2 linked regions of the Notamacropus eugenii genome follow. The protein of the gene in region 1 purifies or fractionates together with the protein of each later gene. This does not show direct contact. Links are inferred from orthologs where the notes say so. Each region holds a gene or a part of one and is shown in the gene's direction. Other genes may lie near its edges.

Evidence for each region. Proteins that work in one complex are often made in the same cells at the same time.
Region 2: the proteins of CDC5L (region 1) and U2AF2 purify together in Homo sapiens (affinity purification with mass spectrometry; 5 studies listed by BioGRID and IntAct, with this or other methods). This does not show direct contact. The link is inferred for Notamacropus eugenii from reciprocal best matches to the Homo sapiens genes CDC5L and U2AF2.

The regions. Positions count from the first base shown.
Region 1 is NC_092873.1:107,878,678-107,885,781, forward strand, and holds the start of CDC5L (cell division cycle 5-like protein), read left to right. Parts: upstream 1-4,056; 5' UTR 4,057-4,344; coding exon 4,345-4,389; intron 4,390-6,786; coding exon 6,787-6,890; intron 6,891-7,104.
Region 2 is NC_092876.1:18,155,336-18,162,625, forward strand, and holds the start of U2AF2 (splicing factor U2AF 65 kDa subunit), read left to right. Parts: upstream 1-4,210; 5' UTR 4,211-4,341; coding exon 4,342-4,390; intron 4,391-7,290. Other genes in the region: CCDC106 (coiled-coil domain-containing protein 106), read left to right, coding at 104-193, 269-445, 561-755, 1,779-2,095. UniProt on the Homo sapiens protein: Plays a role in pre-mRNA splicing and 3'-end processing. By recruiting PRPF19 and the PRP19C/Prp19 complex/NTC/Nineteen complex to the RNA polymerase II C-terminal domain (CTD), and thereby pre-mRNA, may couple transcription to splicing.

The DNA.
Region 1 (7,104 bases):
AACTATTATTATAATGTAACCTTAGTAAAGGAGTATTAGGCATTCCATTCTCTCAGTAATCACATTCTGGAGTTGTCCAAGATAAGGGGCCTGGTAGCAGCAGTCATCTCAGGCAGAGCAGTAAGTTATGGGATGGGTTAAAAGGTTGGGTTAAAATCCCTGAGGTTACCCTTCCTCTCTGTCCTAATAATGAAAGGCCTGCTAATGCTGGCTGAAGGGCACTTTTAAAAATCACCTGGTGGATATATCCATAATTCCAGAAGATAATTTGTTACTAAATTTAAATGTACCTTTAATACAGCTAAATAAATTTAAGTGGAACTTAGGTCCTTTATGTCAGCTGATTTGTAAACTTTCCCCTTCGAGGTAGGTGTGAAACTAATTAGCCCTTCCACCTCTGAATCTCGAAGCTCTCAGGTTTAAACATTATAGAACTTAGACCATATCACCAGCAAGGCTGAAAAAAAAACTTATAACTGTGTCAAATAATAAGTTTTAAATATCTTATCAGATAAAACAAGGAAGAAATATTTTAAAACTATAATATAATCTTGCTTTTACTCTGCCATCTTGGCTCTGCCCCCTATTATAATTGTAATGAAATAAAACACACTGAACAAAAATAGCAGTTTTTGGACAACTCTTTAACAACTGGGTTTATAACCTAACAACCTAGCAGTATCCAGATTGCAAGAGAAGTAATTTTTCTAACTATGTTGATATTAGCAAATTTCACAGCATAAGCATGCACTTTATTTTATATTAACAGTATTAGGAAATATATAAGCAGCTCTACCAGTTTAGATTCACAATTGTTATTATTAGGTTAGTTCAAAGTATGCCAGGCCAATATTATAAGCCATTGCTGTTAACATTTTTCACTCTAAAATTCTGGGTTGAGGATTGATTTTTGGTTCAGGCAAAAAACCCTACAGAGTTTAAGCTGATGCTGGTGGTCATGGCCCACTGAAGTTGTAGACGGTTTTCACAGAACACAGAGTTATTATAATGATTCTACAATAATAATGAAAAAGTTTGGAATATTGCAAGAATTACCACAATGTGACAAAGAGACATGATGTGAGCTACGTGCTACTGGAAAAATGGCATTGACAGACTTGCTTGACACAGGATTGCCACAAATCTCCAATTTGAAAAACAAAACGCAGCATCTCCGAAGCACAATAAAACTTTGGGATACTTGTATAAGGTAGAAGATGAAGCTAGTGGATGACTGACACCAAATACGTACTTGGGTCCTCCTTACTGCTTCTGAGGATCAGGGCAATTAGTTGTACCCTCCCCTAGAATTACCTACTTCACTACTTTATACTTACACTCTACTTTGTATCAGCTCATACAAGTTTTCTCATTTTTCTGAATTCCTCATATTCCTATCTTCTTACAGTTCAATAGCTTTCCATTGCATTCATATGCCATAACCAGTTCAGTTTTTCTTTAGTCAATGGGCATCTTTTTTCTAGTTTCTCATTTTTTTTCTACCACAAAGAGTTGCCAAGAATATTTTGGTATATGTGGGACCTTGCTTTCTGTCTTTGAACTCCTTGGGACCCAACCATGTTGGAATTGCCTCGGGCAAAAGTAGGAATAATTTCATGACTTTGTTGTTATTGTTGTTGCTATATTAGTGTGATGGTGCTCCTGCATTGCTTCCAACATTAACTATTCCCATCTTATGTAACTGTAATTTTGAGGGGATATAGAGCAAGTTTCAGAGTTATTTAATTTGCATTTCTCATTATTAGTTACTTGGATCATTCTTTCACCTAATTCTTGATAGTTTGCATTTCTTCTTTTGTTTATATCCTTTGCCCACTCATCTCTTGGGTAATGGATCTTGGTAGCATATTTTGGGTCTGTTCCCTACATATCTTGGGTTTAACAATTTTATTGTAAATATTTGATGCAGTTTTTTCTTCCTCTTTTTTTAAAAATCTGGAAGTCTTTTAAAAAATCTTTTTATATTCTCCCAATTACATGTGAAAACAATTTTAAATATTCATTTTTAAAACTTGAGTTCCAAATCCTCTCCCTTCCTCCCCACCCACACCTCCCAATGAGAAGGCAAGCAGTTCAATATAGGTTATACGGGTGTAGTCATGCAAAAGATATCTATAATAGTCATGCTGTAAAAGAAAATATAGACAAAAACACTCAAGAAAAATAAAGTAAAAAGGTATGCTTCAACCTGTGTTCAGAAACCATCAGTTCTTTTTTCAGGGATGGATAACATTTTTCATCGTTAAGTCCTTCAGAGTTGTATCATTGTATCAGAGTTGATCATTGTATTGCGGAGAATAGTTAAGTCATTCACAGCTGATCATCTTACAATATTGCTGTTACTTTGTACACAGTACATTCCACTTTGCATCAGCTCATGCAAATCTTTCCAGGTTATTTTGAGAGCATTCTGCTCATCATTTCTTATAATACAACTATTCTGTCATAATCACATAACACAGCTTGTTCAGCCATTCCCCAATTGATGGGCATTGCCTCAATTTCTAATTCTTTGTCCCTTTTTTCTCCTTATCTTCGTGATAATTTCACATCTTATTCCAGCTGTATTAATTTTGTTTCTGCAAAAGCTTTTAAATTTTAGGTAATTTAAGTGATCTGTTTTATGATCATTTCTATCCCTTGTTTGGTTAAGACTTTTTCACTAAGCCGTAGTTGTGAAAGGCATTTCTTCCCATTCTCTTCTAATGGGAATGGCACTCCGGATGTATCATATCTGGGTCAGCTACTATTCCTAGCCTTTTCTTTTGAAGTGCCATTCAACTTCTTCATGTGGCGTATTGGGACTGAAGACTTAGGGTTGGAATTCAGCGGTGCCTTTGTCACTGATGATGAAAATAGATTTGTAGAGAAATGCTGACAAATCTGTCCTCTTTTTTGGCTGTTTTCTGCCAACCAGTTGTATTTATGGATGCTGGTGGTATGACGTAACTCAGTTCCATCTCAAGCTAAGCGTTCTGTAGTTGTGTCAGTTCTCCTCCAAGTCACCCTGAAGGTCACCTATGCTATGCCAAGGTGAAGAGAATTATATACTTGGTTCCAACCTCAATCCAGCGTGGATTCTTATCTTTTACAGAAAGCCTTTCCTAATTCCTCTAATTTTAATGTCTTCCCATTTTTAATTATTTCCTCTTTTCCCTATATATACCTTGTTTGTACGTATTTGTTTCCTTGTTGTCTCTAGTAGATGGTGAGCTCCAGGTGCGGAAACTGCCTTTTGCCTCTTTTTTGTAGTTTATAAATACTAAATAGTCTATCCTAGTATTTATAAAAATAAATCACATATAACGATAAATAATGACAGTACACAATCATAAGAACAAATATCTGTATTCTAGAAACAACAAATGTGTATTGGTTGACTGAGATTCCACTCACTGACCAGGCAAAACATAAAAAATAAAATAATAAAGCAGTTAATTGAAGCATATGAACAAAATAGAACAGGGGGAAAAACACCTTGCAGAAAAATTCTTAACCTCTCCTAAAGCAACAGAAAATAGCCGTCTCCCACCTCCCACTCCCCACACTCCCATGCCAACTGGGAAAGGCAATGAATCCTTCAGTACGGGGTGTTGGGGCTGGGGGGGGGAGAGGCACGTGGGGGAATCACGTCTAAAGTCCCTTCCAGCTCCCAGTGTACGGTCCTAAGTCACACCTGGCCGTCTACACCTGCTTTATGATAATTACTTATTAGTATTGTTCCCCCAGGAGACTATATAAGGTCCTAGGGGGCAGGAATGGTGTCCTTTCTTTTCTTTCCGTCTTTGAATTTCTAGCCTAGTTCAGTCATTCATATTACAGACGCCTAATAAATACTTATGGAATGGAATGGAATCGAATTCCCTAGTTCCCGTCCAAAGCTTTTAACTTAGGAATTTAGAGTTACCCGTCCACGCGCAAGGCAAAACCACCAGCCATAGAACTGTTCCCGTGTGTGACACACCTCCGACCCTCAGGTGGCGCTATGAGCTCCCACTCCTCTCTATCCCCGCCTCCCACCATCGACGCAGCCGCAGATCGACCCGGGAACGAAGACGCAGCTGTCAGCTTTTTATGCGCATGCGTGCCACTACAAGCGAGGCCGGGCGCTTTGACCGGGAATCTAGCTATCTAGTTTGGGTTACTCCCCGCGACCCGGTAATCTCGCGTGACTAACCTTCTCTCTGCGCCTGCGCACAGCATTCGGAAGCCGAAGGTCGTGCTGGGAAGAAGGGTCGGCTTTGGGTTCGGAGGCCGCTACGCCATTTCAGTGTTCGCCCGATCGTCTCGGCTATTTGCCGAATCACTCACCCTTCCGCCAAGATGCCTCGGATTATGATCAAGGGGGGCGTATGGAGGAATACGGAGGTGAGCGTCGTCTTCCTGTCACTCTCCCTGGCCCCCTGCGGTGGTGTGTGCGCATGCGCCATCTGATGGTAGAGCAGTTATGGGGGCGGGGAGTAGGGGGTTAGAATCCTGGAGTACGTAAAGTTGGAGCGGACCTGGCCCCCGGGTGCTTTTCCTCGCCCTCCACCTGCGCTTTAATTTGGCGCCACCCCCTGCCTTTCCAGGCTTCTCTCATGCATTCCACGCACTCTGTGATGCGGGCAAGGCTGGGCCGGTGGGCAGCGCTCCATTCTCCCGCCCCCGGTGCTTTGGCTCCTACTGCCCCTCGGGGCTGGAATGCCGTTCCTATCTGCCCCAGAATGCTGCACTTCCCTTTATCCTCTAAAGCCCAGTTGGCACACCTCCTCCAGGGAGCCGTTTACGGAATCAAGAGTGGTCCTTTCGGATGGGTCTCGTTTCTAGGGAGTTTTTCCTTGGGCCAAATCAAAATTGGTTTTCTGCCGACTCAGAAATAATAATAATGATACAATAATAGCTAGCCTTTATACACCGTTATAGGGTCTGCAAAGTGCTTTACAAATCTCCTGGGATCCTCACCACCCCTCTGGGAGGAAGGTACTGTTATTATTCGCATCAAACAGATGAAGAAACTAAGGCAGACAGGGTCCCGTGAATATTAAACGTGTGAGGCAGGTTTTGAATTTAGGTCTTCCTGACTCTAAGTGCAGCATTCTACGTATTGTGCCATCTAGCTGCTTCTTGTACTTCCACTGATTGTACTGGATTCTGTTCTCTGAACACATCTAATCCTCCTTCCAAATGATACCCTTTTTTCATGCTTCAGTAATTTCTATTTTTTGTTACTCTGAACTTTACAAACACCCATAAATGTGACCTTCCATATTCAACAAATAGAAAAAAGATTACGTATAAAAATAAAAATATTGCTTGTTTTTAAAAGAATAGAATAAATTCAGTTTGTTAGTTTCAGAGCTGTCTTGTTCCTTTATATCTAACCTCTGAACCTTCTGGAGAAGGTTCTTTGTCCTTTTTTCTGTACTTTTTTAGTTCTTCAGTGATCTTCCTTCTTTCTTTCCTTTCTTTTCCCAAAACCTTAAACCCAGTGCACTCTGAAGTTGGACAACTATAGGTCCTTGCCCAAGCTCCGCTTAATGGCTGGCTTAGAGTGATTATCAATAGTAACAGTTTCTTTTTCCCTCCCAGTTTGATTTACTTATTTTTTTCATTGGTTCATTAAAAGGGCCATTCCCTGATTACTTCTGGAAGAGGCCTATTCAACTCAATGGGTGTTACCTCCTTCTAAGTGAGTACCTGAAAAGGCCTAGCCTAAAAAGGCCAAGGTCTCCCATTGCATCCTGGGCCATCTGCAGTCATCCTGATGAATATCTGGTACTGGATTCAGATGGCTCTGGAGGAAAAGTGAGGCTGGTGACCTGCACAGCCCTCCCTCACTCAAAACAAAGTCAAGTGCAAGTCATGTCATCATTTCTCTGATGCCATGGTCCTCTTCGACAATGAAGGACAAAAACACGAAGTCTTGAGAAGACTAGTTACTGGGGGAGGCTGCACCACTTTTCCAACCTTGGGGACAATCTTTCCTCCAATGTCCCTTCTGGTCACATGTGCACAGTTCCATAGGCATTGATTCCTGGGGCTCCCTCTGGGGGGGCGGGCGCCCTGGAGGGGCACTCCTTGGACCAGTGACCCTCCTTTATTTAAATGTTTTTTGACAATTTTGACAATTTTTTGACAATTAATGTACTGTCAACACTCTTTGAAGATAGACCTAGATTTACCCATGAATTTCCAGGCCCAAGCCTCCTATAGAGATATTAAGCCAGTGTAATAATAGCAGTAGGTAAACTTTACATAATGTTTTCAAGTTTGCCCAGTAGTTTACATATATATTTACTCCTCTGTGAGGTGGGTACTATATTAGTTATCCCTGTTTTACCATTGAAGAAAATGAAATGTAGAGAAGTCAAGTTTCTTGTCAATATTAAGGGAGTGAATATCAGTGGTAGAATTCAAAACAGCCTTTGGGACTACATGTCCAGCTTTCTGTCTGTCATGGTATAGTGGAAAGGGACTCAATGGAAGAGTCAGATGAGTTAGTACCAGATCTGTCAGGTGTCAGCCAGGCTGCTTTGGGAATCACCTTACTTCCGTTGGCCTCAGTTTCTTCATTGATGGAGTGAAACCATTGAATCACATAACTTTTTAAGGTCTCTTACAGCTGCACAATTTCCCATCCTCTTTTTGGAGGGGGACAGGAAGGGGTGTTCCCTAACCTTGCTTGGAAGACTACAGAAACCTTATCAGAACTAAGCTAGATTGATTCTTTCTGGTGAAAAATAATTTTTGTTTGTTAAATCTTTTTCTTGTTCATTTTCTTAGGATGAAATTCTCAAAGCAGCGGTAATGAAATATGGAAAGAACCAGTGGTCTCGGATTGCTTCACTGTTGCATAGGAAATCAGCAAAGCAGTGCAAGGCCAGATGGTATGTGCAAGTCAGCAAAGGGAACCTTGGAAAAACTTAATGTGTACTTAATGGTAATAGGGGAAGTGTGGTAGTTCTTTGAATTTAGTTAAGAACAGGAATTAAGAGTGTAGTGTAAAGATCTGAGAGTCAGGAAAACTAGGTCCTAGTCCTGGTTCTCTTGTGAACTTGTTTGACTTTGAGCAAGTCACTTCACACATTTGGGCCTCAGTTT
Region 2 (7,290 bases), on another chromosome or scaffold:
GCCCAGCCCCCCGCCCTCGGGAGCCCCGCGGGGGAGGGGGGCGCCCGGGCGGCCGCGGCCTCGGAGTAAGGGAGCTCTCTCCCCGCCCCCCCTTCCCTTCCAGTGAAGAAGGACGAGGAGGGCTTTGAGATCTCCGTCCCGTTCAACGAGGCCCCCCCTGCGGAGTCACCCCCCATCTTCTGCGGCCTGGAGGGTGAGCCTGCGGGCCGGGGGCGGGGCCGGGGGGGCGGGGGGCGCGGCCTCGCTCACGGCTCGCCCCTCCCCTCAGAGCCCCCGGAGCCCGCGTCGCCCACCCTGGCGCTGATGAGCAGCGTGAAGACCCAGCTGCACATGGCCCTGGAGAGGAACTCTTGGCTGCAGAAGAGGATCGAGGATCTGGAGGAGGAGCGGGACTTCCTGCGCTGTCAGCTGGACAAGTTCATCTCCTGCGCCCGCATGGACGCAGGTAGGGCCGGGCCCAGGTGGGGGGGCCCGCAGGTGGGGGCTGGGCGGGGGGGGGGCCCCACAGGCCCACCTGCCGTGCCCTCCCGTGCCCTCCTTGTCCTCTCTCCCATCTCCAGAGGACCACTGTCGGGGCAAGCCTGGCCCCCGGAGGGCAGAGGGCTCTGGGGAGGCCTCAGACCCCGAGTCAGCAGCCTCCTCCCTCAGCGCTGGCTCCGAAGAGGGGGGTTCTGCTGAAAGGAAGCGCCAGAAACAGAAGGGGGCGGCTGGCCGAAGGAGATTCGGGAAGCCCAAGGCCCGGGAGAGGCAGAGGGGTGAGTGTCAGGTACCCCCGGGTGTGGGGGGGTTGCTAGGGATACGGACAGAGGAAGGATGCTGGACTAGCAGATTGGGTGCATGTGTCCGTCCTCTGTGAGATCCTTAGCACCTGGCTGCCCAGCCCTCAGCCTCCTGTCTTTTCTGACTCCTAGGCAACTAGTTGGCACAGGGAATAGTGTGGGACCTAGAGTTAGGAAGACCTGAGTTCAGATACAGCCTCAGAAGTGTATGATCTTGGTCAAGTCACTTTATCTCTGTTTGCTTCAGTTTCCTCAACTGTAAAATGGGAATAACAGGGTTGTGAAGCTGAAAAAAGATACCCCCTAGGGGGCAGGACCCTGGCATGTGGCCAACCTGGTACCTGTGCCCTCAGAGACCCTCCCCTGTGAATTGTGAGGGATCCCAGAATAGGGCAGTCTGCTCTGCTCCCCACACAGGCAGCCAGGTTTGCATTGGCAAGGGGGCTGCCAAGTCCGTGGGATTCTCCTGAACCTCCTCGTGCTCCCAGGCTCTGCTTAGCCATAAGCCTTAGAGGCTCCATATTTGGGAGTCAGGATGCTTGGGTTCAGTTCTGATGCCATCCCTGATTCATATCAGAGGCTAGAGACTAGGGTTCAAATCCCACCTCAGATACTTAGGAATGAGAGGATCAGCTCTCTCATCTGTCAAATTGGGACAAAAATGCCTCAGAACTTTGTAGCTTCTCATGCCAGGCAGGAGAGGCAGGACAGGGTGGTGAAGAGTGCCATGCCATCCTCTCAAAGGCCCAGGGAAGAGAGCAGTAAGCAAGCAATTTGCACCAGGGGAGGGAGGTGTTCTGTACGGGACATCACAGTTCTGGTTGTTTAGGCCACTCCCACCTTCCCATTTCCAGGGGGACAACACTGAAGGCCAGGCAGTAGCCCTGGGATCTGAAGCCAAGCCATTCCCCTGGGGTGTCACCAAGCAGGGGTGGGTGGTTGGACTCGGTCCCCATGTCTCTGGGGCTCTCACTGGCTCAGCCTTTCCCTGGCCCACAGTGAAGGATGCTGATGGGGTGCTGTGCCGCTACAAGAAGATCCTGGGCACCTTTCAGAAGCTCAAGAGCATGTCCAGGGCCTTTGAGCACCACCGGGTGGACCGGAACACGGTGGCCTTGACCACGCCTATTGCTGAGCTGCTCATCGTGGCGCCGGAGAAGCTGGCCGAGGTGGGCGAGTTTGATCCGTCCAAAGAGCGGCTGCTGGAATACTCCCGCCGCTGCTTCCTGGCACTGGACGACGAGACACTGAAGAAAGTACAGGCTCTCAAGAAAAGCAAGCTGCTGCTGCCCATCACGTACCGCTTCAAGCGGTGATCCCCACGCCTGTCCTGCCCCAGCTTCTCCCCAAGCCAGCTGCTGTCACCGCCTTCTCTCCCTCCCACCCTGCATCAGTCTTGTGTTCTCGGGCCTGGATGGCCGAGCCAGCTGGAGCCATCGCCTACCCCAGCATGGATCCCCCTAGACTGGCTGTCTGCTGTCTTCTCTTCGGATGCTGGCTGCTTCAAGTGGCCCCTCCTATGTCCGACTACTCGACTCTCCTCTGCTTCTTCCAGGAGCAGCTCTTTCCAAGCGACAATCCTGTTCCCTGGGCTCTTGAGGGGGCCTCCAGAGGTAGTGGTTGGCTTGCATCCTGTGCTCTAATGGGCCTCCTGGCTACCTTTTCTCGCCAGGGGACCCCTTATGTCCCACAATGGTTCTCCTATTGATGTCTGAGCCAAGTGATGTGTCATTTACAACTAGTCCCCCTTAACGGCGACCCTCCAGGAGCCCCACAAAGGCTCAGCTCTTGGGTGGGATCCTGCCCTTGCCCTTTTCCTAGCCTTCCGCAGCACCCCTGCAGCCGGTGGGTGCATGCACGTGAGTGATGTGTTTACATGTGGTTCCAGGTGGAGGTGGGTGGGCTCCCTGTCTCATCTGCTGCTACCCTCTCATGGAGTTTGTGTGGAGACAGGAAGGCAGTGTATGTATGTATATATTTACCGAACATCTCCCCCTTCTGCCTTCCGTGGTGTCAGCATCTGTTTCCCACCCCCATTGCCCTGGCCTGGCTTCCTTTATTCCTTGCCCCAAACCTAGAGACTTGGGAGTCTCTGCAGACTGTCCAAGTGGCCGGGCATCACTGCCTCTGGAGAGAGGTCAGAGGAGCCCTTGAAAGAACCTGGCTTCTCGCTCCACTCTGGGTGTGACTCCCTTCCCTCCCCTTCTCCAGGCCTGTTTCCTTCTCTGTAAAATAAGGGAGTTCAGTGCGATCCTATCCAAGGTGGCTGTGAGGCCCTGGGTAAGTCTGGGTCTCTTCCTTCTCGTGAACGCGGAGCAGATGGGACGAGGAGCCCCCACGAGGTCGCAGTCTGTGACGATGGGGCCTGGACTCTGCGGAGGCTGACCGATCCTTCCCTCCCCGGCGGCCGCTGGGCAACGGAGCCTGGGAGCGCCCCCTCCCTTGAGTACCAGCCGCCGGCCCTGGACCAACAGATAAATGAAGTATTCAGAGTTAAAATTAAAAGTTAACCAGCAGATTTGGAATAACCTTGGCCTCGGTTCTGGCTGTGGGGGAGAGGGGGTGGCGAAGTGGACCGAGCCGAGAGACGGCCGGGAGCTCCCTTCCGGGGCGCTTGCCCGTCCCGAGGCTATGGCGCAGGCGCGACTCTGCTTAGGCTGCCGTTTCTAAGGCGACCGCCAAGGGAAGGAGAACGCGCTAACAGTCTTACGGGTACGGGGCCAGTCGGCTTTGGAGGGCTCAAGTGCGCGTGCGTGCTGGCCAGAGAGGGCGGAGACGAGCAAGGGGTAGCCTCGATCCTCTTTTCCCATTGGTTGGCCCCGCTTTGCACTTGCGCAGTAGCCCGGCTCCCCGTCCATTCGCTCCGGCGCAGCCGTAGCTTAGGTTCGGGTCGGCCTCGCGGGGCGGCCCGCACAGGCGCACAAAAGCCCCGCCCCCAGCTAGGCTCCACGGCGGCGCGGCGTTCCGCGGCCTACCAGTCGGCGCCCTCGGTTCCTCTCGCGAGCCGCGCCCCAAGCCGGAAGAAGTCGAAACGCAGGGAGCCGGGAGGCGGGAGTCGGAGGTGCGCCTCCGGAAAAAGCCGAAGTCGGGCCCGAGTGCCTCCGGAAAGAACCGAAAGCCGGAAGGGGCCGTGCGTTCGCCGGGGCCAGCAGGGGAACACGACGGCTCCGGCCGCGTTCGACCTCTAGGGCAAACTCGAGGCCACCCCGACAGGGTCTGTGCGGCCTCGCGGGCCGGGACAGGAGGGGGTGCCTCCCGACCAGAACTCGGGAGCCGCTGAGGCAGAGACCGCGCGGTCTGTTGGGGCCGGGTGAAGCGGGGCGGGGGCCGGAAACAGCCGAAGCGTTCCGGAAAAAGCCGAAGGGACTCAGGCCCCTCCTCGAGCGAGTAGGAGGCGGGGCCGGGGGCGGAGCCTGCGCGGGGGCCGGAAGCGGGCGAGGCGGGCGCCGGAAGTGGGCGAGGCGGCGCCGAGGGCAGGCGAGGCAGGCCAGGCCGGGCCAGGCGGGGGGGACGGGACGGGGGAGAAGGCGCGAGCGCGGGCTGCGGCCGGCCGCCCCTCAGCATGTCCGACTTTGACGAGTTCGAGCGGCAGCTCAACGAGAACAAGCAAGGTGAGTCCCAGCCTCGGCCGGCCTACCGGCCTCCGGCGCTCCCTTCCTTCCCTCGCTCCGGTCCCTTCTCCCCTCAGCCCGCGCGGCTGCCTCCCCCTCCCCCTCTCGGTCCGGCGCTACACGTGACCCGCGCGCGCCTCCCGCCGCGCCATGTGACCGCGCATCGCACGTGACCGCCTCGCGCGCGCCCGCCTCGGGCCCACGCGGCTCGGGGGGCCTTGACCGAGACCGGAGACTTTGGTCAGTGCCGGGACCAGCTAGGGTGGCCCCCCCCCAACCCCGACCGGTCCCCCTCCCGCTCCCTCCTCGCTCCGTGCTGCCCACTTCCGCTTCCGGTGGCGGCCCGTTCCTCCTCCACGCCCCCTTTGTTCCCAAAATGGCCGCGGCGGGGGCTTTCCCCCCCACGTGGAGGAGTTGGACGTGGACTGGTCCGGGATCGACCCCCGTGACTCCCGCCGGCCCAGAGCCCTCGCTGGCGTTCCGTCTCCCTTTCCCACCCCTGCACCTCCTTTTCCACTCTCGGGGCAGGGGGCGCTTCGAGACCTCTTGGGGCTTCCGGCCGGCCAAGGTCCCTGGTCACCGACCTTGCGGCTCCCCGGGGCCTCGGCGGGGGCCGGGCCAAGTGTCCTTCCCTGCTACTGGAGGGGGGCATCCCGAGCTTGGAAGGCCCTGTGGGCCCCCGGGGAACGCGTGGGAAGGGTCAAATTCATTATCCGACTTTGTCCCGACCCCTTCCCCGAGGGCCCCGTCGGGGCCTGGGACCATTTACGGTCTGGCCCTCAGCCCCTAAACACGTGGACTTGGCAGCCTGTGTGAGTGAGGAGCGGCGGCTGCCCGTGCCCGCCTTCCCCTTCTTGTGCCGAGCTTTGTTTTGGTTCCGACCGGCCCTTTCTTGACCCTCAGGGGCTCCTTTCTCCTGTTGGTCTTCTTCTTCAGGGCGTTCTCTGTTTCCGGCAATCAGAAGGGGTTTATCCTTGCCCTCTTCATCTGAGGCCTTCACCCAGTATCCCTCACCTCAGGCTGTCTCTAGAGGGCCTTTTCCTTCTTCCTCCAGATGTCCCTGAAATGGTCCCCATGTTTACCCTCTCCCTGAAGCAGGTTAAAGTCAGGGTCTCTCCTTCCAAAACTTCACTTCTAGTGGAACACCTTTGCCCTTCTCCGCTGCACGTACTCTTTCTAAATGAACTCCTTCTCAAGTTTGAACAAGTCCAAAGTTCTTTCAGTCGCAGAGATGAGAAAACTAGGGCCTAAGGAACCAAAGGGATTTGTCCAAAGTAGTCCAAGGGGCAGTCATGGGGCAGAATGGGGAAATGGAACCAAATATTCTGATCCAAGTCTCCCCAACAGACTCCTTAAGAAAATCCTCCTGTTGAGCAGGGTGTGGAAGTATCCCAAACTTCTCTGTAGTTTTGGAACCCTACTGACCCAGTTCTCTGAGACTGGAATCTGGAAAGGATAGGACCGCTTCCTCCCCTTTTTTTTCTGCCCCAATTCACAGGTTTCTTCTGCTGGACCTCACATCTCCTTTGCTGCCACAACTTAGTGGTTCTGTTTCTTTGCCCCCAACATTACCTGCTTCTAGCAAATCAAGGCATACTCCTCCAATCATGTTTTAGAGAGGGGAAAATCTGCTGTCTAGAGAATCCAAGGTTATACAGCAAATCCAGGTTGGAGCTGGAACCTCAGTTCACTTGCCCCATTCAGAAGGAAATCTATTTACAAGGAGGAAAGGTCCAGGTTGGAGCCCTGGTTCTGCTGCTAACTAACTGTGTGACCTTGGGCAAGTGAGAATTTCTTTCTGAGCTTTACTTCTCTTCCTTTTCATAAGGGAGATGGACTAGATGATATCTGGTGTCCTTTTCAAGTTTGACAGGAACCTTCTACACACGTCAGATTCATCCTCCTGGAAGAGAGAGGTAGATAAGGACTTTGCCAAGGTCACCCAACTAAGTGGGCCCAAGCTTGAACCCAGGGCTCCTGTCTTTCAGCCTATTATCCTTAGTGATCTGGAATCAGTGTCAGAACCAGAAATGGTGCTTAACCATTGTGGCACCCTGATTTCAGAGGATGTGAATCCTAGCCCTTTGGGGCCTGGGGTTGTTTGCAGTAGTTGTCTTACCTCAGATCAGTTCAGTGATCTCCTCTCCCTAGTTGAGCTTGTGAAGCCAGGGTTCCCGCCTCCATGACTGAGCTCTCCATCTTTCTGGTGTACTGGGTTAGAGGTGGATGTATACCAGTGAATCCCCTCCAGAGAAGGGATGAGAATTAGAAGAACCTGGGTAAGAAATAATGATGTCTAGCCATCCATAAGGGCATAAGACTGAGTTTTGGATCCTTGTTTCTCCAGGCACAGGGGGAGGTGGGACTGGGCCCAGTTGGGATCCTGGATTCCTGAAGAGAAGAATTAGTTTGATTTGACAGTGGGCAGTCATCTCCTTGGGAAGAGGTAGACCCTACACTTTTGGATCTTGGTGGGATCTTTGAATGCTTCAGTAAGCATCTATGGGTGACTGTCTCCATGGCCCCCTCCTCACTTTAAACACAGAAGCATGTTTTGAACAGCTATAAGATGATTGAGAGCCTGAAGATGGAGTAGGGAATGAGAAAGGGTGCATATGATGGGGGGAATCTGCCATCTGCCCCACTGGCCAGGCTCTTACCAGCAGCCACAAATGTATCTTGGCACTATGAGCTCTTTCCTTGCCTGGTGAGAGCTCTTGCTCCGTGTATGCTTCTGGCCACATTTCTGCTTCCAGTTTCCTTCCCTGCCATGGACCATGTGGTACTTGGGTAGGGGAGGTACAGGGAGGATAGGAGTCCCCTGCCCTTGTGTATCTCCAGTGTGTTTTTGCTTCCGATCTCTTCCAGAATGGGGAAATGGGCCTAAGGTGCAAGGAGAC